4 linked regions of the Anolis sagrei genome follow. The protein of the gene in region 1 interacts with the protein of each later gene in a biochemical or structural test. Links are inferred from orthologs where the notes say so. Each region holds a gene or a part of one and is shown in the gene's direction. Other genes may lie near its edges.

Region 1 (7,253 bases):
GCTGTGTAGAGCCAACCAGAGGCCTTTCTACACTGCTATATGATCCAGATTATCAGAGCAGATCATTTACATCTGATTTGAACTCGATAGAATCATAGAGTTGGAAGAGACCTCCTGGGCCATCCAGTCCAACCCCCTGGCAAGAAGCAGGAAAATCAAATTCAAAGCACCCCTGACAGGTGGCCATCCAGGCTCTGTTTAAAAGCCTCCAAAGAAGGAGCCTCCACCACACTCCGGGGCAGAGATTTCCACTGCTGAACGGCCGTCACAGTCAGGAAGTTCTTCCTAATGTTCAGATGGAATCTCCTTTCTTGTAATTGCATTCAAAGCACCCCCGACAGATGGCCATCCATCTTCTGTTTAAAAGCCTCCAAAGAAGGAGCCTCTACCACACTCCAGGGCAGAGAGTTCCACTGCTGAACAGCTCTCACAGTTAGGAAGTTCCTCCTAATGTTCAGATGGAATCCCCTTGTAATTGCATTCAAAGCACCCCCGACAGATGGCCATCCATCTTCTGTTTAAAAGCCTCCAAAGAAGGAGCCTCCACCACACTCCAGGGCTGAGAGCTCCACTGCTGAACAGCTCTCACAGTCAGGAAGTTCTTCCTGTTGTTGTTCATTCGTTCAGTCGTCTCCGACTCTTCGTGACCTCATGGACCAGCCTACGCCAGAGCTCCCTGTCGGCCGTTACCACCCCCAGCTCCCTCAAGGTCAGTCCTGTCGCTTCAAGGATGCCATCCATCCATCTTGCCCTTGGTCGGCCCCTCTTCCTTTTGCCTTCCACTTTCCCCAGCATAATTGTCTTCTCTAGGCTTTCCTGTCTCCTCATGATGTGGCCAAAGTACTTCAACTTTGTCTCTAGTATCTTTCCCTCCAGTGAGCAGTCGGGCTTTATTTCCTGGAGGATGGACTGGTTGGATCTTCTCGCAGTCCAAGGCACTCTCAGCACTTTCCTCCAACACCACAGCTCAAAAGCATCGATCTTCCTTCGCTCAGCCTTCCCTAAGGTCCAGCTCTCACATCCGTAGGTGACTACAGGGAATACCATGGCTTTGACTAGGCGGATCTTTGTTGCCAGTCTGATGTCTCTACTCTTCACTATTTTATCGAGACTGGACATTGCTCTCCTCCCAAGAAGTAAGCGTCTTCTGATTTCCTGGCCACAGTCTGCATCTGCAGTAATCTTTGCACCTAGAAATACAAAGTCTGTCACGGCCTCCACGGTTTCTCCCTCTATTTTCCAGTTGTCAATCATTCTTGTTGCCATAATCTTGGTTTTTTTGACGTTTAGCTGCAACCCGGCTTTTGCGCTTTCTTCTTTCACCTTGATTAGAAGGCTCCTCGGCTCCTCCTCGCTTTCGGCCATCAGAGTGGTGTCATCTGCATATCTGAGGTTGTTAATGTTTCTTCCAGCAATTTTCACCCCAGCTTTGCATTCATCCAGCCCCGCACATCGCATGATGTGTTCTGCATACAAGTTAAAAAGGTTGGGTGAGAGTATGCAGCCTTGCCGTACGCCTTTCCCAATCTTGAACTAGTCTGTTGTTCCGTGGTCAGTTCTGACTGTTGCTACTTGGTCCTTGTACAGATTCCTCAGGAGAGAGACAAGGTGGCTTGGGATGCCCATCCCACCAAGAACTTGCCACAATTTATTATGATCCACACAGTCAAAGGCTTTAGAATAGTCAATGAAGCAGAAGTAGATGTTTTTCTGAAACTCCCTGCCTTTCTCCATTATCCAGCGGATATTGGCAATCTGGTCTCTCGTTCCTCTGCCTTTTCTAAACCCAGCTTGAACATCTGGCAACTCTCGCTCCATGTATTGCTGGAGTCTTCCTTGCAGGATCTTGAGCATTACCTTACTGGCATGAGAAATAAGGGCCACTGTACGGAAGTTTGAGCAGTCTTTCGCATTTCCCTTTTTTGGTATGGGGATATAAGTTGATTTTTTCCAGTCTGATGGCCATTCTTGTGTTTTCCACATTTGCTGGCAAATGGCATGCATCACCTTGACAGCATCATCTTTTAAGATTTTAAACAGTTCAGCTGGGATCCCGTCGTCTCCTGCTGCCTTGTTGTTAGCAATGCTTCTTAAGGCCCATTCAACCTCACTCCTCAGGATGTCTGGTTCTAATTCATTCACCACACCGTCAAAGCTATCCTCGATATTGTTATCCTTCCTATACAGATCTTCTGTATAGTCTCGCCACCTTCTCTTGATCTCTTCAGCTTCTGTTAGGTCCCTGCCATCTTTGTTTCTTATCATACCAATTTTTGCCTGAAATTTACCTCCAATGTTTCTAATTTTCTGGAAGAGGTCTCTTGTCCTTCCTATTCTGTTGTCTTCCACTTCCACGCATTGCTTATTTAAAAATAGTTCCTTATCTCTTCTGGCTAACCTCTGGAATTGCGCATTTAACTGGGCATATCTCCCCTTTTCACTGTTTCCTTTTGCTTTCCTCCTTTCTTGGGCTACTTCCAGTGTCTCAGCAGACAACCATTTTGCCTTCTTGGTTTTCTTTTTCTTTGGAATGTACTTTGTTGCCGCCTCCTGAACAATGTCGCGGACTTCTGTCCATAGTTCTTCTGGGACTCTGTTTACTAAATCTAGTTCTTCCTATTGTTCAGATAAATTTTCTTTTGGCGTGTCAGGAGCAACTTGAGAAACTGCAAGTTGCTTCTGGTGTGAGAGAATTGGCCGTCTGCAAGGACATTGCCCAGGGGACGCCCGGATGATTTGATGTTTTACCATCCTTGTGGGAGACTTCTCTCATGTCCCTGCATGAGGAGCTGGAGCTGATAGAGGGAGCTCATTCGCGCTCTCCCCGGATTCAAACCTGCGACCTGTTGGTCAGATAATATGAGCCTACACTATTTTATCCAGTTCAAAGCAGATAATCTGGATTTTATATGTTTGTGTAGGAGGGGCCTTCTAGATAGGCCCTATATCCCAGGTTTTCTGCTTTAAACCGGATTATATGAGTCTGCACTGCCAGATAATCCGGGATAAACTTGGGATCAAATCCTGGGATATAGAAGGGTCCTGTGTTGCAAAAGACAGTGTCCACCTCCCTCTACTTTAGGGACTTCTTCATCATATTGTTAAAGGCTTTCATGGCCGGAATCACTGGGTTGTTGTAGGTTTTTCCGGGCTATATGGCCATGTTCTAGAGGCATTTTCTCCTGACGTTTTGCCTGCATGAATGGCAAGCATCCTCAGAGGTAATGAGGTCTGTTGGAACTAGGAAAAAGCAAAACAACAGAAGGGAAACAGTCTGGGACATCTAATCACCTCTCAACAAAAGATTCCCCCCAGGCACTTTCAAGCCATTAAATGCTAATCAAGGTAGTCAGTTGAAACATTCACACTTAGCTCCAGCAGACAAGAGTTCTTTGTCCCACCCTGGTCATTCCACAGATATATAAACCCATTTTCCTAGTTCCAACAGACCTCACTACCTCTGAGGATGCTTGCCATAGATGTAGGCGAAACGTCAGGAGAAAATGCCTCTAGAACATTGCCATATAGCCCGAAAAACCTACAACAACCCAGTGATTCCGGCCATGAAAGCCTTCGACAATACATTATAATCCGGCCCTCCAACAGTTTGAGGGACTGTGACCTGGCCCTCTGCTTAAAAAGTTTGAGGATCCCTGATCTAGATTATCAAAGCAGATAATCCACATTGGACTGGATAATATGGTCTACACTATTTAATCAATTTCAAAGCAGATAATCTGGATTTTATACGGTCGTGTAGAAGGGACCTTTTAGACAGGCCCTATATCCCAGGTTTTCTGTTTTAAACCGGATTATATGAGTCCACACTGCCAGATAATCCGGGATAAACTTGGGATCAAATCCTGGGATATAGAAGGGCCCTGTGTTGCAAAAGACAGTGTCCACCTCCCACTACTTAAGGGACTTCTTCATCTTCCAATCTGTTTTGTTTTTGCCTTTTGCTTTCAAACTCGTGACCATGAAACTGAAACCTTGGGCTGCCCCTTTTCCAAGAGGGAACGGAAAGCCCTGATTTGAGCCACAAATGCGGACTTTCCTTCCCCACCCCTTCCTCCTATACAGACTTCCTTCCCTGGAAGGAGCAAGTGGTGTAATATTCCCATATTGGACGAGAAGGGGGTTACTTTAGTAAGGGAGGAAGTTGCAAAAGAGGGGCTTGTGCGGGATTGGCAAAGGGAGCTGCGCGTCAAAGCCCCCGCGGGGATTTCGTCTCCCTCTAGCGCCACCTCTGGCCGCGGCGCGCATTGCACCCACCAAGCTTGGAAAGGAAAGTCAAGCCAAGCGGGGGGAGAGGCGACTTCCAAACAACCCGCCGCTTCCTCTGCTGACTCAAAAGATTTGTTTACTGGCGGGAGGCGACTCCTGGGCATCTTGGCCCTTAGTGGGAAGGCAGCCATGGCCACTGAGGGGGTGCCAGCCTGCGAGGAAGAGGAGAAGGACGAGGAGAGGCGAGAAGCCGCCTTAAGGAAACTCATCGTCCGCCTGAAGAACGTCCAGGAAGGGAAGCAGATCGAGACCCTGGTGCAGATCCTGCAGGACCTTCTCTCCCTCGCCTCCCTGCCAAGCGGTAAAAAGGGGGCTTCTCTTCCCTCTAGAGCAGTGTTTCTCAACCTGGGGGTCGGGACCCCTGAGGACACAGTATTTTCTGTTGGTCATGAGGGTTCCTTATGGGACTCTGGCCCAAATCTGTTGTTGATGGGGTTTAGAATTTCCTTTGATTGTAGATGAACTATAAATTGTAGCAACTACAACTCCCAAATGTCAAGGTCTATTTTCCCCAAACTCCACCATTTAGGCCTATTGAGTATTCATGCCAAGTTTGGTCCAGATCCATCATTGTTTGGGTCCACAGTGCTCTCTGGGTGTAGGTGAACTACGACTCCCATAATCAAGGTTGATGCACACCAAACCCTTCCAGTATTTTCTGTTGGTCATAGAAGTTCTGTGTGCCAAGATTGGCTCAATTCCATTGTTGGTGGAGTTCAGAATATTCTTTGATTGTAGGTAAACTATAATTCCCAGCAACTACAACTCCCAAATGTCAAGGTCTATTTTCTCCAAATTACACCAGTGTTCACATTTGGGTAAATTGAGTATTTGTGCCAAGTTTGCTCCAGATCCATCATTTTTTAAAAGCCACAGTGCTCTCTGGATATAGGTGAACTACAACTCCTAAACTCAAGGTCAAGGGCCCTCCAAGGCCTTCCAGTATTATCTGTTGATCATGGGAGTTCTGTGTGCTAAGTTTGGTTCAATTCCATCATTGGTGGAGTTCGGAATGCTCTTTGATTGTAGGTGAACTATCAATCCCAGAAACTACAACTCCCAAATGACAAAATCAATTCCTCCAACCCCACCAGTATTCAAATTTGGATGTATCGGGTATGAAAATACATCCTGCATATCAGATATATACATTACAATTCAAAGCAGTAGCAAAATGACAGTTACGAAGTAGCAAAGAAAATAATGTGATGGTTGGGGGTCACCACAACATCAGGAATTGCATTAAGGGGTCACGACATTAGGACGGTTGAGAACCACTGCTCTAGGGAAAGCTGACAAGGGATTCCTCTTTCCTGATCTTTCCCCCCTTCTCTTCTTTCACCCAGGTGGCAGGTTATTCCGTGGCAAAAACATCCACGTGCCTTTGCTCCTGGTTTTGGTCTCCTACATGAAAGTGGCCAGTGTGCAACAGGTAAATATTAGTCTCTCCCTTTGGCTGCTTCTCGCCTGGAACTGCTCTATATCCCAGGATCTGATTCTAGATTATCTGGCAGTGTAGACTCATATAATCCAATTCCAAATTGGATCAGATTCTGGGTCATATGGTAGGGTAGATCCAGCCTCATCCTTCCCTACTTGGATTCTGAAGGATGCTTTCCCTTTGCAGGATCAGAGGGATTTTGGCCTGCATCCATAGGAGTCTAGTGTCTAGATCCAGGGAAGTCATGCTACCTCTCTATTCTGCCTTGGTTAGAACACACCTGGAATATTGAGTCTTAATTCTGGGCACCACAATTGAAGAGAGATAATGACAAGCTAGAATGTGTCCAGAGGAGGGTGACTAAAATGATCAAGGGCCTGCAGAACAAGCCCCATGAGGAGCGGCTTAAAGAGCTGGGCATGTTTAGCCTGAAGAAGAGAAGGAGGAGACATGATAGGCATGTATAAATACGTGAGAGAAAGTCATAGGGAGGAGGGAGCAAGAACAATGGCTTCAAACTACAAGAAAGGAGATTCCATCTGAACATATGGAAGAACTTTCTGACTGTGAGAGCCATTCAGCAGTGGAACTCTCTGCCATGGAGTGTGGTGGAGGCTCCTTCTTTGGAAGCTTTTAAACAGAGGCTGGATGGCCATCTGTCAGGGGTGATTTGAATGCAATATTCCTGCTTCTTGGCAGGGGGTTGGACTGGATGGCCCATGAGGTCTCTTCCAACTCTTTGATTCTATGATTCTAGAGGGATTTTGGCCTGCATTCATAGGAGTCTAGTGTCTAGATCAGGGGGCCTCAAACTATGGCCCAGGGGCCGCATACGGCCCTCCAAGGTCATTTACCCGGCCCTCACTCAGAGTCAACCTAAGTCTGAAACGACTTGAAAGCACACAACAACAACAACTATCCTATTTCATCAGCCAAAAGCAGGCCCACACTTCCTATTGAAATACTAATATGTTTATATTTGTTTTAGTTATTGTAGGGGTCCTCAAACTTTGTAAACCAGATCACATTCCCTCAAACGATTGGAGGGCCGGATTATAATTTGAAAAAAATATAATATATAATTTGTTCCATCTGAACATGAAGAAGAACTTCCTGACTGTGAGAGCCGTTCAGCAGTGGAACTCTCTGAATGGTGGAGGCTCCTTCTTTGGAAGCTTTCAAACAGAGGCTGGATGGCCATCTGTCAGGGGTGATTTGAATGCAATATTCCTGCTTCTTGGCAGGGGGTTGGACTGGGTGGCCCATGAGGTCTCTTCCAACTCTTTGATTCTATGATTCTATGATATGAATGAATTCCTATGCACACTGCACATATCTTATTTGTAGTGCAAAAAACACTTTAAAATAATACAGGGGCCTAACTCAAATAGGATAAACATTTGGTGAATTCTTTTTTTTGGGATGGATCCTTTTCTCTATCCAAAAATGGACTTTTTCAAGGATACTTTTCCTAACTCTCAAAAATGGGAAGGTTGGCATGGATCACTAAGGACCCATCTACACT
Region 2 (6,923 bases), on another chromosome or scaffold:
GACCATGGCCATATAGCCCGAAAAAACCTACAACAACTCAGTTTGGACAGCGATATTTTCAGAAAACGTAATTGTCTAGGCAACCGCAATCCGGACCTGCCAGCCAGTGAGTCATCATTTGGATGATCCAAAGCACTCATTAGCCAAACATCCTCAAATCTCTCCATTAAAAAAAAGGTTTGGCTACAAATCTAGAGGGGCAAATCAGTGAAACACAGTGTGATTTGCGTCTGCAGAAACCAATTTATGTATTGAGTTGTCAGGCCTGGAGCCAACAAAATTCAGAAAGATCAAGTGCCATTTCAAACCTTTGTCCATTTATCCTAATGAATCGCCTTTTTCGCCTTCCCTTTTGAGAATGGAGTGATTCGCACCTTGGAACATCTTTTCAGGGAAGACAAGAGAGAAAGGAAGGATGCATTCTAGGCAAGCCGCCCTGCTTCTGGTTCAACGCTTTCGAAAGAAGGGACAAAAAGGCTCCCATTCAAGCAGCATTCCTCTCCCTCTGCTTGATCAGAAGGGCTAATAAAATACTGAAAGGGGATCTGGGGTGAGCTTTTCTCAACCAATTGACAGAAACAACCATTAAACTAATTAAGCTTTTCCCTTCCTCCTTGTATTTGCTTTTTTGAATTTGTTCCTTCTGTTAGTGACTCTGTCAATTGAGTGGTGACACAGGATACAGACCAAAAAAAATCCTTTTTTTATTTTCATGGCTCAAAATGATATCCTTAGTTTAGTGTGATTTGAGCCTCAGGCTTTAATTTCGGGAGATCTTGTGCCTTCCCAAACATTATGTAAAATGTCTCAGACAGTCATTTAAGTCAGGGCATTTGAGGTTTTCGTGTCTAATTAAACAATCCAATTAGTCTCTGAATAATTTTATATTTAGCTGTGAAACAAGTAAACAGGTTGAATGACTTGGTTTGAAGAGCAGAGCCAGGATGCTTGCTTCTTAATTACAGCTCCCAGAAACCCCCAGCTAGCAAGACCAATGTTCAGCAGTGGAACTCTCTGCCCCGGAATGTGGTGGAGGCTCCTTCTTTGGAAGCTTTTGAACAGAGGCTGTGTGGCCATCTGTCGGGGGTGCTTTGAATGCAGTTTTCCTGCTTCTTGGCCAAATGGGGTTGGATTGGATGGCCAATGAGGTCTCTTCCAACTCTATGATTCTATGATTCATGCAGACTGGGAAAATGGGTTTTCCAGATTTGCCAAAAAGGGAACGAGAGGCGTTGAACTGATGATGCATACTTTGTCAAATATGACATAGACCAGTGGTTCACAACCTGTGGGTCCCCAGATGGGATTTCTGCGAGTTGTAAGCCAAAATACCTGGAGACCCAAAGGTTGAGAATCAGTGCCATAGATCATCATGATGATTTATTCATCATGTCAGAAGCGAATTGAGAATACAGTTATAATGAATAAAAAACCAGAAGCTGGCCATGTCAAGTGGCTGTGCTGTGCTGTAAGAAGGTCCTTATTGTGCATGTGGCAGGACACAGGTTGCATTGTAGTATGTGATCTGTGGTTTGCTCTTCTCCACACTCGCATGTCATGGACTCCACTTTGTAACCCCATTTCTGAAGGTTGGCTCTACATCTCATGGCCCGCGAGCACAGTCTGTTCAGCACCTTCCATGTTGCCCAGTCTTCTGTGTGCTCAGGAGGGAGTCTCGCATTTAGTATCAGCCACAGATTGCGGTTCTGGGTTTTTAGCCTGCCACTTTTGGACTCTTGCTTGCTGAGGTGTGCTTGCGAGCATCTCTGGAGATCTTAGAAAATAATTTCTTGATTTAAGGTGTTGGCTTGCTGGCTGATATCCAAACAAAGGATGGGCCAGAGATGTCAATGCCTTGGTCTTTTCATTACAGACTGCTACTTCCTGACAGATATCAGGTGGTGCAATACTGGCTAAACAGTATAATTTTTCCAGTGGTGTAGGGCTTAGACATCCTGTGATAATGTGGCATGTCTCATTAAGAGCCACATCCACTTCTTTTAACATGGTGATATGTATTACACACTTGGTATGCGTATTCTGCAGCAGAGTAGCAAAGCGCAAGGGCAGATGTCTTCAATGTTTATGGTTGTGATCCCCAGGTTGTGCCAGTCAGCTTCCGTATGACATTATTTCTAGCACCCACTTTTTGTTTGATAGTGAAGCAGTGCTTTTTGTAAGTATGTGACTTGCAGTATAATGATGATGATGGTGGTGGTGGTGGTGGTGGTGGTGGTGGTGAAGAACTTATTACTCGCCTCTCCTTGAAGTTTGAAGCGTAATACTACATGATTCATACAGAGGGATTAAACACAAAACTATTAAAATGTCTGTCTATTTTCCTGTCTGTCTGTCTGTCTGTCTGTCTATCTATCTATCTATGTATGTATGTATATGTGCGTTTGTATGTATCTTTCAAGATGGTCCCCACTTCCAGAGACCATTACAACTCCCACCAACTACGAATCTGGACCGAACTTGGCAAACCCACCCATCCCGCAATGACCAAAATAAAATACTGGAGGCTGGGGAGGTTGGGGGCTGGGGAGGAGATGTACCCTGGACGATGGGGATTGCAGTTCACCCTGAAGGAACTTCCAGAGAGCACCGTGAACCCCATCTATGATAGATCTGGACCAAACATATCCATCATGACCAACTTTAAATATTGACAGGGTTTAGTGGGTGGCAATAGCAAAGAATGATGGGAGTTATAGTTCACACACAATCAAAGAGCATTCAGATCATAACCCATGATGGACTTGGATTAAATGTGACACACATACCCATCATGACCAGCTTTAAGTACTATCAGGGTTTGGGGAGCAATGACAGAGGATTTGGGGAGTTATAGTTCACCCATATGTGAAGAGCACTGTGAACCCCACTGATGATGAACGTGGACTAAGCTTGGCATATGTACCCATCCTGACCAATTTAAAATGCTGGTGCGGTTTGGGGGGTATTGACCTAGCATGATGGGAAATGTAGTTAACCCATATCTTTTGCATTTTCCTATGGGTGAGATAGTAGAGATGACTATAAACAAACTATATTATTTATGCATACTGAATACATGAACAAATAAAAGCGAGTTGAAGGTTTTTAAGCAGAGTCTGAATGGCTCTGTTGGGGGTGCTTTGATTGTGCTTTTCCTCCCTGGCAGATAAGGGCTGGACTGGATGGCCCTTGGGATCTCTTCCAACTCTATGAGTTGATTTATTTATTTGTTGTGTCAGGGCAACCAGTCAATTGTATTACATTTCTAACAGAACAAAACAAACAAACAGACAGACAAAATACAAAATTTGCGAGTTTGGTAGTTGATTAAATGTCCTTTGACCAGTATCTGGCCACTTGGAGTGCCTCTGGTGTTGCCGCAAGAAGGTCCTCCATTGTGCATGTGGCAGGGCTCAGGGTTCATTGCAGTAGGTGGTCAGTGGTTTGCTCTTCTCCACACTCGCATGTCGTGGATTCCACTTTGTGGCCCCATTTCTGAAGGTTGGCTCTGCATCTCGTGGTGCCAGAGCGCAGTCTGTTCAGCGCCTTGCAAGTCGCCCAGTTTTCTGTGTGCCCAGGGGGAGTCTCTCATTTGGTATCAGCCATTGGTTGAGGTTCTGGGTTTGAGCCTGCCACTTTTGGACTCTTGCTTGCTGAGGTGTTCCAGCGAGTGTCTCTGTAGATCTTAGAAAACAATTTCTAGATTTAAGTCATTGACGTGCTGGCTGATATGAGTCGATGACATAGTAGCATACATTAAAGCTGAGACAATATATTGCTTTCCTGCAGAGCGTAAGCCATAGCTGGGAGTGACCTTTGCTTCTTCGTTTGTGTTTTGTTGGAGCTGATGACTTCGTCAGGGATTATTAATTAACCATCCCTCTGATGAGAAGCAGTGTAGTGTGTGTCGCATTGCACAGTGTGAAAGGAATCAGCCTGGAAAGGGGAACACAATGTCCACCCGGTACCACCATGCAGCTGCCGATGGCAACCTGGAATTGCTGAAGGAAGCCACCAGAAAAGATCTGAACACTTCCGATATGGATGGGATGACTCCAACTCTGCTGGTGGCCTATCATGGCAATCTGGACGCTCTGGAAATCATTTGCCGAAGAGGGTAAGTACCGTCAGCCTATGGACAGATCACAACATATTGTGACTGCAAATGTAGGGTGTCCTTAGCTTATAATTTAGGGAGAATAAATTTGATATACCCTCAAAAATGTATAGCCCCTTAAAACAATTAAAGATTTCATTAGTAGAGAAGTGTCACAAAATTGCAGTAGGTACTTGAAATGATTAGTGTGTGTATTGTCCAAGGCTTTCATGGCTGGAATCACTGGATTGTTGTAGGTTTTTGGGCTATATGGCTATGTTCTAGAAGCATTCTCTCCTGACGTTTCGCCTGCATATATGGCAAGCATCCTCAGATTAGTGCATGATTGTACACCAGACATGGGCAAACTTTGGCCCTCCAGGTGTTTTGGGTTTCAACTCCCACAATTCTGGACAGTCTCGGGCCCTTTCCTTTTCTTTTTCCCTTTCCTTTTCTGCTTAAGTGGCTGAGGGGGGAAAGGAAGGGGGCTGAGGCTGTTAGGAATTATGGGAGATGAAGTCCATAACACCTGGAAGGACCAAGTTTGCCCATGCCTGGTGTACAATCATGCACTAATCTGAGGATGCTTGCCTTAGATGCAGGCGAAACGTCAGGAGAGAATGCTTCTAGAACATGGCCATATAGCCTGAAAAACCTACATTTCTGATGCCAATCAATCTGTGTCAAAGTTGATCCAGGAAAGAGAGCCAAGGGCAGTCCACACCCAAAACATGGCTGGAAGAAGGAAATAGACAACATATTGCTTTGTACTTAATAGGAGTTCTGTGTAGCTTTGATGATGATGTTGATGATGATATATTGAATTTCTTACCCATTTCTCAAGGTTTGAGGTGATTGATAACAATAATAACCATAATAATAATAATAATAATAATAATCAAAGTATGGATTGTCAATGTTGCAGTCCCAGGTGACAGCAGGATTGAAGATAAACAACTGGAAAAGCTGACATGATACAAGGATTTAAAGATGGAACTGCAAAGACTCTGGCAAAGCCAGTCAAGGTGGTCCCAGTGGTGATTGGCACACTGGGTACAGTGCCTAAAGACCTTGGCCTGCACTTAAACACAATTGGCGCTGACAAAATTACCATCTGCCAGCTGCAGAAGGCCACCTTACTGGGATCTGCGCGCATTATTCGCCAATACATCACACAGTCCTAGACACTTGGGAAGTGTTAGACGTGTGATCCAATACAACAGCTAGCAGGGTGTCTGCTGTGGACTCATCTTGTTGTGTTTCTAATAATAATAATAATAATAATAATAATAATAATAATAATACACTTTATTTATATCCTGCCTTTTTCTACATACTGAACAGCAACATACAACACAAAGATAAAGGGCTTCCCATTTTTCTATCTCTGGTGTCTGGAGGCAATGCTCAACTCCAGCCATGGGAAGGTGCTATTGTACCATTTTTCCATGCCAAGGAGCCTGTTGTCCATGGACATCTCCGATTGTGTTACTGGCATATCTGCAATGTGAATGAGGCACCATTTTACCTTCCCGCCGAGGCGGTACCAATTGATTACTCGCATTACATGCTTTTGAACTGCTAGGTTGGCAGGAGCTAGGGCTGACAGTTGAGAGCTCACCCTGACTCACAGCTTTGAACTACCAACTTTCCAGTCGACAGCTTTCCTGCAGCTAACGGTTCAACCTGCTGTGCTACTGTGGCCTCATAAAAACAGAAAACCATTAAAAACACATATATTAAAAGATGTAGACATAAGAGTAAGACGGATTAAAACTCATTCAATAACATGCCAGTTTAAAACGAAAGCGTCTAGATTAGAACTTGGGACTCAGAAAACCATTCCTTTTAGATCAGCCATTTACAGACGTATGATACTAATTGACATAAAACATACACAAGCTAATTTGTATGTATAGAGAACTTTAAAAATAATTAGAATAATTCAGATAGAGTGTGCCCAAGTCTCAGGTCCTCCTCTTTACTTCTCAGATGGGAAGAATCTCAGGGCAAGAGCACAGCCTTGAAAAAATGTGTATGTCTGCATGTGTATTTTCTCACTCTCTATTTTTTTCCTGTGGTATTTTATCCATTTCCGATATAATATCTCTTAAAATAAGACTCCACTATAGGACACGTGAAGGGCCGTGGTGGTGCAACGGGTTGAACCACTAAGCTGCCAAACTTGCCAAAAGTTCAAATCTGTGGGACAGGGTGAGCTCCTGTTGCTAGCCCCAGCTTCTGCCAACCTAGCAGTTCGAAAACATGCAAATATGAGTAGATCAATAGGTTCTGCTTTGTCGTGAAGGTAACAGCACTCCCATGCAATTATGTTGGAGGTGTCTATGGACAAAGCTGGCTCTTTGGCTGAGAAATGGAGATGAGCACCACCTCCCTGAGTCAGACTCAACTAGACTTAATGTCAAAGGAAACCTTTACTCTAGTACATGTGGCTATACAATACTAATAATCTAATAATATCCACTGGGGTTTAGTTCCAGAACTCCCCATGGAAACCAAAATCCATAAATACCAAAGTCCTATTATATACAATCGCATAATAAAATAGTGTCCTTGAGATAAAATGGCAAAATCAAACTTTGCTTCTTGAATTTTTAAAAATATATATTTTCAAACCCAGAGTGGCAATATCCCTGGATGCTAATCCATACGTACAAAGGGCTGACTGAATGTAAATAAATAAAATTAAATGTCCTGCTTTCACAATAAAATTTCTAGTTTTAATCACTTTTCATTTGTTATTTTCTATCACTGGCCTTTGGGCAATACTAAAAGTAATATGGTGAAAACCATTTGGACTTCAGGT
Region 3 (7,295 bases), on another chromosome or scaffold:
TGCATACAGTGTCTCTGAAGTTCCAGTTGCCTTGACCTAGACAAACATTGACCTAGACAAATGTCACTCTGAGTCACCTTCGGGCTGATATGGGCGGGGTAGAAATTGAGTAAACAAATAAATAAATAAATAAATTCATCTCCCACGTTTCTCTCCGTCTGTACTTCTGGCAGGTTCTCATGAGAACGGATATCTGTTGCTTGGCAGAATGGGGTTGGACTGGATGGCCCATGAGGTCTCTTCCAACTCTATGATTCTATTATTTCCCCCAGGCAGGAAGCAGCCAGGCTTTGAAGCTACGAGGCTATTAAATGCTAATAAAGGAGGCCAATTGCAACATTTCCACTGGCCTCCAGCAGACAAGAGTTCTTTCCTCCACCTTGGACATCATTCCACAGCTATATGAACCTCACTTGCCTAGTTACCAACAGACTTCACAACCTCTGAGGATGCCTGTCACAGATGTGGGCGAAATGTCAGGAGAGAATGCTTCTGGAACATGGCCAGGCAGTCTGGAAAACTCACAACAACCCAGTGATTCCGGCTATGGAAGCCTTTGACAACACATACCTATCCTGCCAAACATAGCTTCGCATCCTTTGGCACACCGTGGGTAGATCAGGATTTTTTCATTCCCGATTTCAGGGCAAATCGCATTGTATAAACAGTACAGCCAAGGCGTGTCAAGGGCACCACAAATTCCCCCCTACACACGGGCAGGAACCTTTGCGAAATCACATTCCATCGGCAGAGCAAGGCATGTGCCATCGGAGGAGGAACTCGTCGGTTTTGCCCACAAGGACCAGAGCTAAGCATGGCATTCCAATCCTAGGTGAAGCACTCCAGGTTTTGGATCACAACTCCCATCACAGTCACTTCTCTGGAAATCTGAACCATGCCATGATTTAGAAGCTTACGAGAAGCTCAGCCTGTCATTGAACATCGGGAAAACCAAAGTGCTCTTCCAGCAGTCACCGGCAAATCCCTCTCCAATGACAGAAATACAGCTTAATGGTGTAACATTAGACAATGTTGACCATTTCCGCTCCCTTGGCAGCCACCTCTCCACCAAAATCAACATCGACACCGAAATACAACACCATCTGAGCTCTGCGAGTGCAGCATTCTTGCAAATGAAGCAGAGAGTGTTTGAGGACCGGGACATCAGTAGGGAGACCAAGGAGCTTGTTTACAAAGCTATTGTCCTCCCAACCCTGCTATATGCCTGCGAGACGTGGACTGTCTACAGACATCAACATTGAGACTGAAATACAACACCGCCTAAGCTCTGCAAGTGCAGCATTCTTGCGAATGAAGCAGAGAGTGTTTGAGGACCGGGACATCCGTAGGGATACCAAGAAGCTTGTTTACAAAGCTATTGTCCTCCCAACCCTGCTATATGCCTGTGAGATGTGGACTGTCTACAGACGTCAACATTGAGACTGAAATACAACACCGCCTGAGCTCTGCGAATGCAGCATCCTTCTGAATGAAGCAGAGAGTGTTTGAGGACTGGGACATCCGTAGGGAGACCAAGGTGATTGTTTACAAAGCTATTGTCCTCCCAACCCTGCTAAATGCCTGCGAAATGTGGACTGTCTACAGACGTCACATGCAACTCCTGGTACGATTCCATCAGCGCTTGCCTCCAAAAAACTCCTGCAAGTGCAGTATTTTTCCAAATGAAGCAGAGAGTGTTTGAGGACCAGGACATCCGTAGGGATACCAAGGGGTTTGTTTATAGAGCTATTGTCCTCCCAACCCTGCTATACGCCTGCGAGACGTGGACTGCCTACAGAGGTCACATGCAACTCCTGGAATGATTCCATCAGCGCTTGCCTCCAAAAAACTCCTGTAAGTGCAGCATTCTTCTGAATGAAGCAGAGAGTGTTTGAGGACTGGGACATCCGTAGGGAGACCAAGGTGATTGTTTGAAAGCTGTTGTCCTTCCAACCCTGCTATATGCCTGCGAAACGTGGACTGTCCACAGATGTCACATGCAACTCCTGGAATGATTCCATCAGCATTGCCTCCAAAAAACTCCTGCAAGTGCAGAATTTTTCCGAATGAAGCAGAGAGTGTTTGAGGACCAGGACATCCGTAGGGAGACCAAAGTGATTGTTTACAAAGCTATTGTCCTCCCAACCCTGCTATATGCCTGCGAAACGTGGACTGTCTACAGACGTCAACACCGCCTGAGCTCTGCAAGTGCAGCATTCTTCTGAATGAAGCAGAGAGTGTTTGAGGACCGGGATATCCGTAGGGAGACCAAGGTGATTGTTTACAAAGCTATTGTCCTCCCAACCCTGCTATACGCTTGCGAGACGTGGAGTGTCTATAGACGTCACATGCAACTCCTGGTACGATTCCATCAGCATTGCCCCCAAAAAACTCCTGCAAGTGCAGCATTTTTCTGAATGAAGCAGATAGTGTTTGAGGACCGGGACATCCGTAGGGAGACCAAGGGGCTTGTTTATAAAGCTATTGTCCTCCCAACCCTGCTATATGCCTGCGAAACGTGGACTGTCTATAGACGTCACATGCAACTCCTAATACGATTCCATCAGTGCTTGCCTCCAAAAAACTCCTGCAAGTGCAGCATTTTTCTGAATGAAGCAGAGAGTGTTTGAGGACCGGGACATCCGTAGGGAGACCAAGGAGCTTGTTTACAAAGCTATTGTCCTCCCAACTCTGCTATACGCTTGCGAAACGTGGACTGTCTACAGATGTCACATGCAACTCCTGGAACCATTCCATCAGCGCTGCCTCCGGAAAATCCTGCAAAAAGGGAAGGAAGGAAGGAAGGAAGGAAGGAAGGAAGGAGGAAGAGAGAGAAAAGAAGAAGAGAAATAAAAACAAAGGAAGAATGGAGAGAAGAAGGAAAGAAAGAAAGAAAGAAAAAGAATGAAAAAATTGAATGAAAAAAAGAAAGAGAAAAAAAGGAAGACAAAAAGAGAAAAAACTAACAAAGGAAGAATGGAAAGAAAGAAAGAAAAAGAGTATCAGAAAGAAAGAGAGAGAGAGAGAGAGAAAAGGAAGAAAGGAAAGAAAGAGAAGGAGAAAAAAGAAAAGAAAACAGAAAAAGGGAGAAGGAAGAAAAGGAAAGAAAAAGAAGAAAGGAAGGAAAGAAAGAGAATTAGAAAAATGTAAGGAAAAAAAGAAAGAAAGAAAGGAAGGAAGAAAAGAAACAAAGAAAGAGAAAGAGAAAAAGGAAGGAATAAGGAAGGAAAAAGAAAAAAGGAAGGAAAGAAAGAAAGAAAAAGAGAAAAAAATGAAGAAAGGAAGGAAAGAAAAAGAACAGAAAAAGAAAAAGGAAGGAAGGAAAGAAAAAAGAACAGAAATTAAGAAAGAAAAAAGAAAGAAGGAAGGAAGGAAGGAAGTACGAAAAGAAAGAAAGAAAGAAGAAAGAGAAAAAAGGAAGGAAGGAAAGAAAAAGGAAGGAACGAAAGAGAATGAGAAAAAAGGAAGGAAGGAAGAAAACGAAGAAAGAAAGAGAGAGAAAAAAGGAAAGAAAGAAAGAAAAAGAAGAAGGAAGGAAGAAATAAAGAAAGAGAGAGATAAAAGATAGGAAGAAAAGGAAGAAAGAAACAAACAAAGAAAGACAAAGAGAAAAAGGAAGGAAGGAAAGAAAAAGAAAAAAGGAAGAAGAGAAAGTGAATGAAAAAAAAGGAAGGAAGGAAGGAAAGAGAGAAACAAAGAAAGAGAAAGAAAAAAGGAAGGAAGGAAGAAAAGAAAGAAAGAAAGAAAGAGAAAGAGAAAAAAAGAAAGCAAGAAAAAAGAAAGAAAGAAAAAGAAAAAGGAAGAAAAGAAAGAAAGATAAAAAGGAAGGAAGAAAAGAAAGAAGCAAAGAAAGAAAGAGAAAAGGGAAAGAAAGAAAAAAGAAAGAAAAAGAAAAAGGAAGGAAAGAAAGAGAAAAAAGGAAGGAAGAAAAGAAAGAAAGAAAGAAAGAAAGAAAGAGAAAGAGAAAAAGGAGGGAAGGAAGAAAGAAAGAGAAAGAAAAACGAAGGTAGGAAAGGGAGAAAGAAAGAAAAAGAAGGAAGCAAGGAAAGAAAGAAAGAAACAAACACCAGGTAGGCAGGAAGGGGGCGTGCCTCCAGGTGCGACTCCACCCCTCTGGTCACGTGGGCGATGGTCCCATGGCACCTCCTTCCAGGTAGCCCAGGATTCCAGACAGGCCACGCCCATTGGGGGGCCTGGCAGCCAATGGGAGCGCGGTGCGGCCAGGTGGGCGGGGTCCAGGTGTGTGCTGGGGCTTCCACCCTGCCAGTGCCCAGGTGAGGCTGGTGGAGTGAGAGAGCCTTTCTTCCTTCCTTCCCTCTTGTTTTCTTATTGGGATCTAACTGGATCTAAGGCGGATCAGGACCTGCGAGTGGACGGCTCCCAGCCAAGGGAGAACGCTCCCAGACATGTCCCTCCCGAAAGGTAAGAAGGGCCAGGTAACTTCCAGGGAAGGGGATGGTGGGATTGGCAGTCTCCCCAGCCTTTAGAAGAAGGCTGTGGTGTTTTTAAGCCTATATTTTGCTTGTATTTAGAATCATAAGAGATGGAAGGGAACCCTAAAGGTCATCTAGGCCAACTCCCTTCTCCTAGGTAGGAGAAGCACCATCAAAGCCTTCCAGACAGATGACCATCCAGCCCTTGCTAGATAATAATAATAATAATAATAATAATAATAACTATAATTATAATTATTATATCCTAACGTTGGAAGAGACCCCCTAAAGGTCATCTAATCCAACTCCTCTCTGCCTTCCTGCAGGAAAAGAACCACCAAAGCCGTCCCAACAGATGGCCATCTGGCCCCAGCTTTATTATTGTTGTTGTTGTTGTTGTTATTATTATTATTATTATTATTATGTGTTATGGAATCATAAGAGTTGGAATGGACTCCTAAAGGTCATCTTGTCCAACTCAGAAAAGAACCACCAAAGCTGTCCCGACAGATGGCCATCTGGCCCCAGCTTTATTATTATTATTGTTGTTGTTGTTGTTGTTGTTATTATTATTATTATTATTATTATTATTATTATTATTATTATGTGTTATGGAATCATAAGAGTTGGAAGGGGCCCCTAAAGGTCATCTAGTCCAACTCGCCTCGGCTAAGTAGGAGAAGCACCATCAAAGCCCTCCCAGCAGATAGACATCCAGCCCCTGCCAGATAATAATAATAACAACAACAACTATTATTATTATTATTATTATTATTATTATTATTATTATAGTATCCTAGGGTTGGAAGAGGCCCCTAAAGGCCATCTAGTCCAACCCTTTGCCCGGCAGGAGAAGCACCATCAAAGCCCTCCCAACAGATGGCCATCCAGCCTCTGCCAGATAACAACAACAACAACAACTATTATTATTATTATTATTATTATTATTATTATTATTATTATTATTGTATCCTAGGGTTGGAAGAGGCCCCTAAAGGTCATCTAGTCCAACTCTTTGCCAGGCAGGAGAAGCACAATTAAAACCCTCCCAACAGATGACCATCCAGCCACAGCTAGACAATTGTTGTTATTATTATTATCATTATTATTACTATAGTATCCTAGAGTTGGAAGAGGTCCCTAAAAGCCATCCAACCCTTTGCCAAGTAGGAAAAGCACTACCAAAGCCCTCCCTACAGATGGTCATCCAACCCCTGCTAGATAATAATAATAATAATAATAATAATAATAGAAGGTTCCTAGAGTTGGAAAAGACCCCTAAAGGTCATCTAGTCCAACTCTTTGCCAGGCAGGAGAAGCACCATTAAAACCCTCCCGACAGATGACCATCCAGCCCCAGCTCGATAATTGTTGTTATTATTATTATTATTATTATTATTGTATCCTAGGGTTGGAAGAGGTCCCTAAAGGCCATCTAGTCCAACCCTTTGCCAAGTAGGAAAAGCACTACCAAAGCCCTCCCGACAGATGGTCATCCAACCCCTGCTAGATACTACTACTACTAATAATAATAATAACTATTATTATAGAATCCTAGAGTTGAAGAGACCCCTAAGGACCATCTCTCTTCTAACTCAAGGATATAATAATAATAATAATAATAATAATAATAATAATAATAATAACTATTATTATAGAATCCTAGAGTTGGAAGAGACCCTAAGGACCATCTAGTCCAACTTCCTTCTGCCTTCACGCAGGCAAAGCACAATCAAAGCCCTCCCGACAGATGGCCATCCAGCCTCCAAAGAGGAAGCCTCCACTAGACTCCACTGCTGAAAAAGCTCTCCTTATGGTTAAACAATGACATTTTGTAGAACAAGTTTGACTTCCGTGTTGTGATCTTAATTATGGATTTGCACCATAACAAAAGGCGGTCCTTGCCGGCACGGCTGGCTTCAAGCCAAGGTGGGAGTGGATTGCAACTCCCATTATCCACAAAAGCTTCCAGGTTGACACGATTGTTAGAAAAAGCCTGCCAGATCCAGGCGCGGCTTCCTCTTCCACTTCCTCTCTTCGGTTTCGGTACCTGTTCTTCCCAAATATTGCCTTACGTTGCACCAAGGCTGCAAAACATTCTTTTGTCGTTGTTGTTAGGAGATGATGCATGCACCAAATGTTTGCTTCGTGCATACTTTCTTAGTAACATGCTCTGGTATGATCAAAAGCCCAACATGTGATGGATATGCCGAGTGACTGATGGCAATATAGTATATGGTTCATGGTTAGGAATGGTGGGAGTTGAAGTCCAAAACACCTGGAGGGGCCAAGCTTGCCCATACCTGTGATAGAGTCTGGGATATTTGCAAAGTTTTGCAAAGTTTGGCAAAGTTTTGCAAAGTTTTGCACGCCTTCTCTGCAAGAGAGAGGGATGGTGCCTCAGCAGACTACAACTCCCAAGGATTCATCCTATTGAGCCTCACTGTGGGACATAATTGTGCTCTTTTTTTCTGTTTTGCAAGCTGCAGAAAGGCAGTTGTGCGTCATAGACGTCAGGCTCTCTCGGCCACCTTTCTCGGGGCGTGTGGCGGTTGTGTCATGCTTTGTGTTTGTGATTGCTTACTCACCTTCACGGTAGAAACTTGCGTGGCGTTGACTGCTTTCCAAAGCATTTCCACCTCCTGAATCTTTCAAGAAGCAATTTATTTACTTCCAAGGGGTTGCAACTCCCAGAATCCTTTGAGCCCGGAGCTTTGCAAAGTGTTCATGTTGGGGACGTGCTTTTTAAACATGCCAAAAGCGGGAATTCGGTTTTACTAGCAAAGCATGGGCAAACTACAGCTCTCCAGGTGTTTTGGAAATACAACTCCCACAAAGTTTGCCCGTGCCTGAGTTAAACCA
Region 4 (7,096 bases), about 23 Mb from region 1:
TGAGCTGGGTTATCTGAGTCCACACTGGGCCCTTCCACACAGCCCATAACCAAGAATATCAAGGCAGAAAATCCCACAATATCTGCTTTGAACTGCGTTATCTTAATCCACACTGCCATATATTCTAGTGCCAAGCAATTGACTGAATGCAATTGGAATGAATTGTTTATTGTACTAGCCATAGGCCATGAAGTTCAAAGCAGATCATGTGGGATTTTATTCAGCTGTGTGGAAAGGGCCACAGTGCTATGGAATCATGGGAGTTGTAGTTTCACAGGGCATTTAGCGTCTGCTGCTGCCCTGGGAAAACTACAAATCCCAGGATTCCACTGAGCCACGGCAGCTAATGTCAAACTGAGCCAAGATGCACCCCTTGTAAAACTGTATCTCCCAGGAGACGACAGCATTGAGCTATGGCAGCTGAAGTGGTTTGGACTGTGTTGATACCGACGAGTGAAAGCAGGAGGAGGAGAAGCAGCCTTCTAGTTCAAAACAATGAAGCAGAAGACGTAGAGATGCAAAGCCTCTCCTCAAACACAACAACTCGCAATGCATCCTCTCTCTCTCTCTCTCCGTCTGCTGAGGAGAAAGGCGAACGCGTGACTAATGCACCTGAAGCAGGAGATGCAACCATTCTGACAGGCTGTCTCCATCACTCTTCCGGCGGCCTCCTTCCACGGAGGCGCCTTTTCCTTCACTCCCTCCCTGCTTTCCCTCCCTCGCTCGCTCGCTCGCCTACCTGGCCGTGTGGCAGCGCCGCCGCCTGGCGATCCCCAGAGAGCCCTCGCGCATCCTCCTTTTCGCCGCCGAACCGGGCGGAGAGGCTCGCGAGGAGGCGGGACTCGGGCCAGCTCAGCCAATCAGCTCCCAAGCCGCACTCCCACAACGGAACCCCGCCCTTACTTTACCACCGCCTCGGAGACGTCAAGATTGCTTTTTTTTTCCCACGCCGCGCATGCGCGCTGGCCGCGGCGAGATTTACGGCCCTCAAGAGCGGGATTCCAATAGGGTCCTCTTGGCGCATGCGCGTGGTAGCCTGTTGAAGCCAGGCAAGATTTGGGAGCTATTTTTCATAGAATCATACAGAGTTGGAAGAGACCTCATGGGCCATCCAGTCCAACCCCCCTGCCAAGAAGCAGGAATATTGCATTCGAATCACCCCTGACAGATGGCCATCCAGCCTCTGTTTAAAAGCTTCCAAAGAAGGAGTCTTTTGAAAGACTCTGGCCCCTTCCACACCGTTGAAAAAAAAAGCACCCACATTTTCTGCTTTGAACTGGAATATATTGCCATAGAACAATAGACTTGTATACTCTCACCCAACCTATTCAACTTGTATGCAGAACATATGCGATGTGCAGGGCTTGACGAATTGCTGGAAGAAACATTAACAACCTTAGATATGCAGATGATACCACTTGGATGGCCAAAAGCGAGGAGGAGCTGAGGAGCCTTCTAATCAAGGCGAAAGAAGAAAGTGCCAAAGCTGGGTTGCAGTTAAACATTAAAAAAAACACCAAGATCATGAAGATACATTTCTTGCCTTGTAAGGAATCAAAAAAAAATTGGCATTTTTTTTTGCATATGATATGGGGGTGGGAGTAGCTGATGACACTATTGATGTTAGCTAGATAGACACAATTCTAGTTAGGTATAGTTTGCATGGATTTTCCTTTGAAAGTGTCTTAAACTTGAGTGAATGGAATAATATGTTATACCTACTTTGTACAAGTTGCTGTCTACATACAGATCTAGACATGTTCCAGTATTTCTGAATGTATATTTTCTGATTATATATGAGATTGTGTCAAATAATTAATTAAAAAATATTTAAGAAAAAGAAGAAGAAAGAAATAGGAGACAAATGTTATATAGAATGTTAATCTATAAGGTTCATCTCAAAAAGGATTAATATGTAAAAGAAAACAATCCTCATGGTGGTGGGAACTATAAATGTTGGGTATGTATTAAACTAAATATATATAATAAAAAAGGGAAAAAAACACCAAGATTATGGCAACCTCTTTCAAAAAACAAATTTAAAGGCGGGATTTAAATTGACAGTGAACAACTTTCTCATCTCCTCCAGCTGACTTCGCTGGTTGAATTAGGGCCTTCCACTCAGTCATAAAACCCAGAATATCAAGGCAGATAATCCTACAATATCTTCTTTGAACTTGGTTATCTGAGTCCACATTGCCATATATTCCAGTTCAGTGCAGATGCTGTGGGATTTTTCTGCCTTGATGAGTAAAAGTAAAGGTTTTCCCCTGACATTAAGTCTAGTCGTGTCCAGCTCTGAGGGGTTCGTGCTCATCTCCATTTCTAAGCCAAAGAGCCAGCGTTGTCCATAGACACCTCCTAGATTATGTGGCCAGCATGACTGCATGGAGCACCGTTTTCTTCCTGCAGAAGCAGTAACTATTGATCTATTCACAGTTACATGTTTTTGAACTGCTATGTTGGCAGAAGCTGGGGCTAATAGCAGTTCACCCCACTCCCCAGATTCGAACTGCCAACCTTTTGGTCAGCAACTTCAGCAGCTCATTAGTTTAACCTGCTGCACCACCGGGGGCTTCATATTCTGGGCTATATGGGTATGTGGAAGGAACCAGAGTCCACGCTTCCATATATTCCAGTTCAAAGCAGATACTGTGGGATTTTTCTGCCTTGATAAGTAAAGGTAAAGTTTTCCCCCTGAGATTAAGTCTAGTTGCGTCCAACTCTGGGGGTTGGTGCTCCATCTCCATTTCTAAGCTGAAGAGCCAGCGTTGTCCATAGACGCCTCCAAGGTCATGTGGCCAGCATGACTGCATGGCGTGCTGATACCTTCCTGCTGGAGCAGTATCTATTGATGTACTCACATATGCATATTTTCGAACTGCTATGTTGGCAGATATTGTGGGATTTTTCTGCCTTGATAAGTAAAGGTAAAGTTTTCCCGCTGACATGAAGCCTAGTTACGTCCAATTCTGGGGGTTGGTGCTCATCTCCATTTCTAAGCTGAAGAGCCAGTGTTGTCCATAGATGCCTCCAAGGTCATGTGGCCAGCATGACTGCATGAAGCACTGTTACCTTCCCGCTGGAGCAGGCATGTAGCCGGGGGGGGGGGGAGGCTTGGGGGGCTTCAGCCCCCCCCCCCCCCCCGAAATTCTCATGGTGGTTCGCGAAAAGGCCTTACTGGTGCATTATTTAAACTGTTATATTTATTCATATCATGATCTGATCACCATGCTCAATACATCCCATATGCATGAGGGTATTGGGGTAACAATACAAAAGGTTTGCTAGGGTAGACCCTCTTTCACTCAGACTCAGCCCCCCCCCCCCCCCCCCGAAATGAAATCCTGGCTACGGGCCTGCGCTGGAGTATGGAAGGCCCAAGAGTCCATACTGCCCTATATTCCAGTTCAAAGCAGAAATTGTGGGACTTTATTCAACTGTTTGGAAGGGGCCCCAAGCCAATCTATATAAATAAAAATGTAATGTTCATGTGCCGTTTGGTTCAATTCCATCGTTGGTGGGGTTCAGAATGCTCTTTGATTGTAGGTGAACTATAAATCCCAGCAACTACAACTCCCAAATGACAAAATCAATTTTTTTTGAGTGAAGGACATACATTGGGTTGTTAGGTGTCTTGTGTCCAAATTTGGTGTCAATTCCCCCAGTGGTTTTTGAGTTCTGTTAATCCCACAAACGAACATTACATTTTTATTTATATAGAAGATATAATTTATTTGTCGTGTCAAGATAAACACACATATATACACACACAAAACACAGATACACAGACTGGGCCACAGTAACACGTGACAGGGGACGGATACTCCTATATAAGCGCCAATATCGCCTGACAGCAGCTTTCCTAGCCTTCCACACGCTCCTCCCTTTCTCCCGCCATAGCTGCATCCCAGTTTCTCTTCTTCCCGCCCCTTTCGATCACGTGACCTGGTGCTCACGCGTTGCCAGGGAGAATCCGTAAGCATCTTCTACGGCGCTCCCTACCTTAGTGGCGCACTCGAACTCACTCGTTTCGACCAATGGCGAAGGGCGTTCAGGGCCAGTTGTCCTATAAGCAACGCGACGGGGGCGGGACTAAGGCTCCGGCTCCGTTAGAGCTGCTGGACTCACCCAACGGGGTGGGAGATTGGGTTAAGGGCGCCTGGGTTGTTATTTGTCGGAGGGGAGGAAGGAGGGAGGAAGGGGTCTCGCCTTCCCAGCGGCCCTGGCTCCCTCTCCTCGCTTCCCGGGGTCGGTGGCCCCTCCTGCGGTTCTTGCCTCGTAAGTGGCCTCGCTTCCAGCCTCGACCACTGCTGCAGGGGATGGGTGTGCCCAGGCCAAGGCCGCAGTGGGGGATTTGAGGGGAAAGGCGAGGAGAGAGTCAGTCAGGTGACTGGAGTTGGTTTCTGAGGGGAAGAACCATTCTGCCCCCCACTTTTACTTCCCTGGCTCACTGCTATGGAGTCCTGGGAGTTGTAGATTTACAAGGTTCTCCGACAAAGGAGGCTATTTTTCTCAATGAACTACAAATGTCAGGATTCCATAACATTGAGCCATGACAGTTGAAGTGTCAGACAGTATAGATCAGGCATGGGCAAATTTTGGCCCTTAAGTTGTTTTGGACTTCAACTCCCACAATTCCTAGCAGCCTCAGGCCCCTTGTTTTTCCCCCTCAGCTAAGCGGCTGAGGGGGAAAAAGAAGGGGCCTGAGGCTGCTAGGAATTGTGGGAGTTGAAGTCCAAAACAACTTAAGGGCCAAAATTTGCCCATGCCTTATATATAGATGTGTCTCAGAGTTGTAGTTTGACACCAGCACTCTTTGGCAGGGAAGATCTTGCAAAACTACAACCCCCACAATCCTATAGTGAGCCATAGCAGTACCCTTAGAAACCAGTTAACAGCTGGATTAAAAGTCGCATTCCACCATAGAGTGAGAATTAGAAGAGTTTAATTATCTTTTTAATTAGGTGAATTAAAATGGTTAAATTAGATGTTGGCATGTGCAGGTTGAGTATCCTTGGGGCTAGAGGTGTTTTGTATTGTAATACCAATCTTATAATGTACTGGTACTTTACTTACTTAGGCGATCCCTCATTGTCCGAGTAGGATTGTCTTCCAAGATCAGTGTACTGGCTGTGGGTCCGTAGGTGACTGTGGAGCCCTATTCTTGATCTGCATGTCCTCCCACAGTGAGGGCATCCGTTTCTAGGTGGAAGGCAGTCCCGGTCAGGGTTGACTTGACGCGCCATCCTCTTGGCACATTTCTCTCTTTCGCCCTCCATTCATGCCTCTTCAAATTCTACAGCACTGCTGGTCACAGCTGACCTCCAGCTAGAGTGCTCAAGTGCCAGGGCTTCCCAGTTCTCAGTGTCTATGCCAGAGTTTTTAAGGTTTGTTTTGAGCCCATCTTTAAATCTCTTTTCCTGTCCTCCAACATTCCATTTTCCATTCTTGAGTTCGGAGTAGAGCAACTGCTTTGCGAGACGGTGCTTGGGTATCCGGACAACGTGGCTGTTCCAGCAGAGTTGATGGCGGAGGACCGTCGCTTCGATGCTGGTGGTCTTTGCTTCTTCCAGCACGCTGACATTTGTCTACTTGTCTTCCTAAGAGATATACAGGATTTTTAGGAGGCAACACTGATGGAATCGTTCTAAGAGTTGCATGTGGCGTCTTCAGGCGTATAGCAGGGTTTGGAGGAGAATAGCTTTATAAACAAGCACCTTGGTATCCCTACGGATGTCCTTACGGATGTCCCGGTCCTCAAACAATCTGTGCTTCATTTGGAAAAATACTGCACTCGTATTATATATATTGCAGTATAATAGTACAGTAAAATATAATCTAAATCAATCCCCTGGCATACAGGGATATATTTTGCAATTCTGGATAAGAGATGCCCAATCTCTATTTGAACATGATGTAGACACTGTAAGCACACCTTACTAGTTTTGTTTGTTTGATTACTACTATTTATATTGTTCTTTCTTATTATAAGTCGCTCTGAGTCTCCTTGGCGAGAGGGGGCAGGATATAAATAAAGTATTATTAATAATATTATTATTTGTTTAAAAGTATATTTTTTCTCCCTAGCTCATGCATAAGGATGCCTTAGAAAAAGACCATGGACAAATATAGTAAGGTGCAAAAGATTGGTGAAGGGTCTTTTGGAAAAGCAATTCTAGTCAAATCAAAAGAAAATGGCAAACAGTATGTTATTAAAGAGATCAATATATCTAAGGTGAGTTTCTCTAATTCAGTTTCCTTTTATTATATTAACTTTTCAAATTTATCTTCCATAATCCATACCTTTTTTCTTACTCATTCTCATTTTTTTAAAGATGTCAAATAAAGAAAGAGAAGAATCTAGAAGGGAAGTTGCCGTGTTGGCCAACATGAAACATCCAAATATTGTCTTGTACAGAGAATCCTTTGAAGGTTAGGCTTTAAAATAACATGTGATGTCAAAACGATATGTTGAAGTGTGAAAACATGAAACCAGATCAAAGGGGATGAATTGGTAGGCTTTGTTTTATACTTTTGGTTATAGTCTTTCATTGGCAATCCATGTATCATTTATAAAGATAAGCAGCATGCCAGCTAAATTCCGTTGACTTTTCCAACTATGCAAATGGTAGTGCAGATGTTCTTCTGGTTATGTGTTACAAGCTGATTTCATAACTGCATACTCCAGAGATAGGTGTCTCTAAGCACAATGTTATCTGAACTAACTAAAGAACACTGTTATATACTGAGACTATTATAAGCTTCTAGACAATATTCTTGTTTTATTTACCATGATTCTCTATATGATTGAGTAGAAATATAGTAAAGGTTGGAATCTAGCTGCAAGTTTCCTATTCGGGTTTTATAATTTAATACCTGCAAAATAAGAAGTTGATATTGGGTTGCCGTGAGTTTTCCGGGCTGTATGGTCATGTTCCAGAAGCATTCTCTCCTGATGTTTGGCCCACATCTATGGCAGGCATCCTCAGAGGTTGTGAGGTATATTTGAAACTATACGAGGGAGGTTTATATATCTGTGGAATGTCCTGGGTGGGAGAAAGAACTCTTGTCTGCTTGAGGCAAGTGTGAATGT

Evidence for each region.
Region 2: the proteins of LRRK2 (region 1) and ankyrin repeat and SAM domain-containing protein 4B interact on a protein array, tested with the Homo sapiens proteins (2 studies listed by BioGRID and IntAct, with this or other methods). The link is inferred for Anolis sagrei from reciprocal best matches to the Homo sapiens genes LRRK2 and ANKS4B.
Region 3: of the proteins of LRRK2 (region 1) and dual specificity mitogen-activated protein kinase kinase 3-like, one has a biochemical effect on the other in vitro, tested with the Homo sapiens proteins (2 studies listed by BioGRID). The link is inferred for Anolis sagrei from reciprocal best matches to the Homo sapiens genes LRRK2 and MAP2K3.
Region 4: the proteins of LRRK2 (region 1) and NEK1 interact on a protein array, tested with the Homo sapiens proteins (2 studies listed by BioGRID and IntAct, with this or other methods). The link is inferred for Anolis sagrei from reciprocal best matches to the Homo sapiens genes LRRK2 and NEK1.

What each region holds. Positions count from the first base shown.
Region 1 is NC_090025.1:82,026,493-82,033,745, forward strand, and holds the start of LRRK2 (leucine-rich repeat serine/threonine-protein kinase 2), read left to right. Parts: upstream 1-4,252; 5' UTR 4,253-4,416; coding exon 4,417-4,588; intron 4,589-5,633; coding exon 5,634-5,719; intron 5,720-7,253. UniProt on the Homo sapiens protein: Serine/threonine-protein kinase which phosphorylates a broad range of proteins involved in multiple processes such as neuronal plasticity, innate immunity, autophagy, and vesicle trafficking.
Region 2 is NC_090034.1:16,409,726-16,416,648, reverse strand, and holds the start of ankyrin repeat and SAM domain-containing protein 4B, read left to right. Parts: upstream 1-3,912; 5' UTR 3,913-3,953; coding exon 3,954-4,117; intron 4,118-6,923. UniProt on the Homo sapiens protein: As part of the intermicrovillar adhesion complex/IMAC plays a role in epithelial brush border differentiation, controlling microvilli organization and length. Plays a role in assembly of the complex.
Region 3 is NC_090035.1:3,668,063-3,675,357, forward strand, and holds the start of dual specificity mitogen-activated protein kinase kinase 3-like, read left to right. Parts: upstream 1-4,294; 5' UTR 4,295-4,406; coding exon 4,407-4,422; intron 4,423-7,295. UniProt on the Homo sapiens protein: Dual specificity kinase. Is activated by cytokines and environmental stress in vivo. Catalyzes the concomitant phosphorylation of a threonine and a tyrosine residue in the MAP kinase p38.
Region 4 is NC_090025.1:58,804,895-58,811,990, reverse strand, and holds the start of NEK1 (serine/threonine-protein kinase Nek1), read left to right. Parts: upstream 1-4,092; 5' UTR 4,093-4,281; intron 4,282-6,090; 5' UTR 6,091-6,121; coding exon 6,122-6,238; intron 6,239-6,338; coding exon 6,339-6,435; intron 6,436-7,096. UniProt on the Homo sapiens protein: Phosphorylates serines and threonines, but also appears to possess tyrosine kinase activity. Involved in DNA damage checkpoint control and for proper DNA damage repair.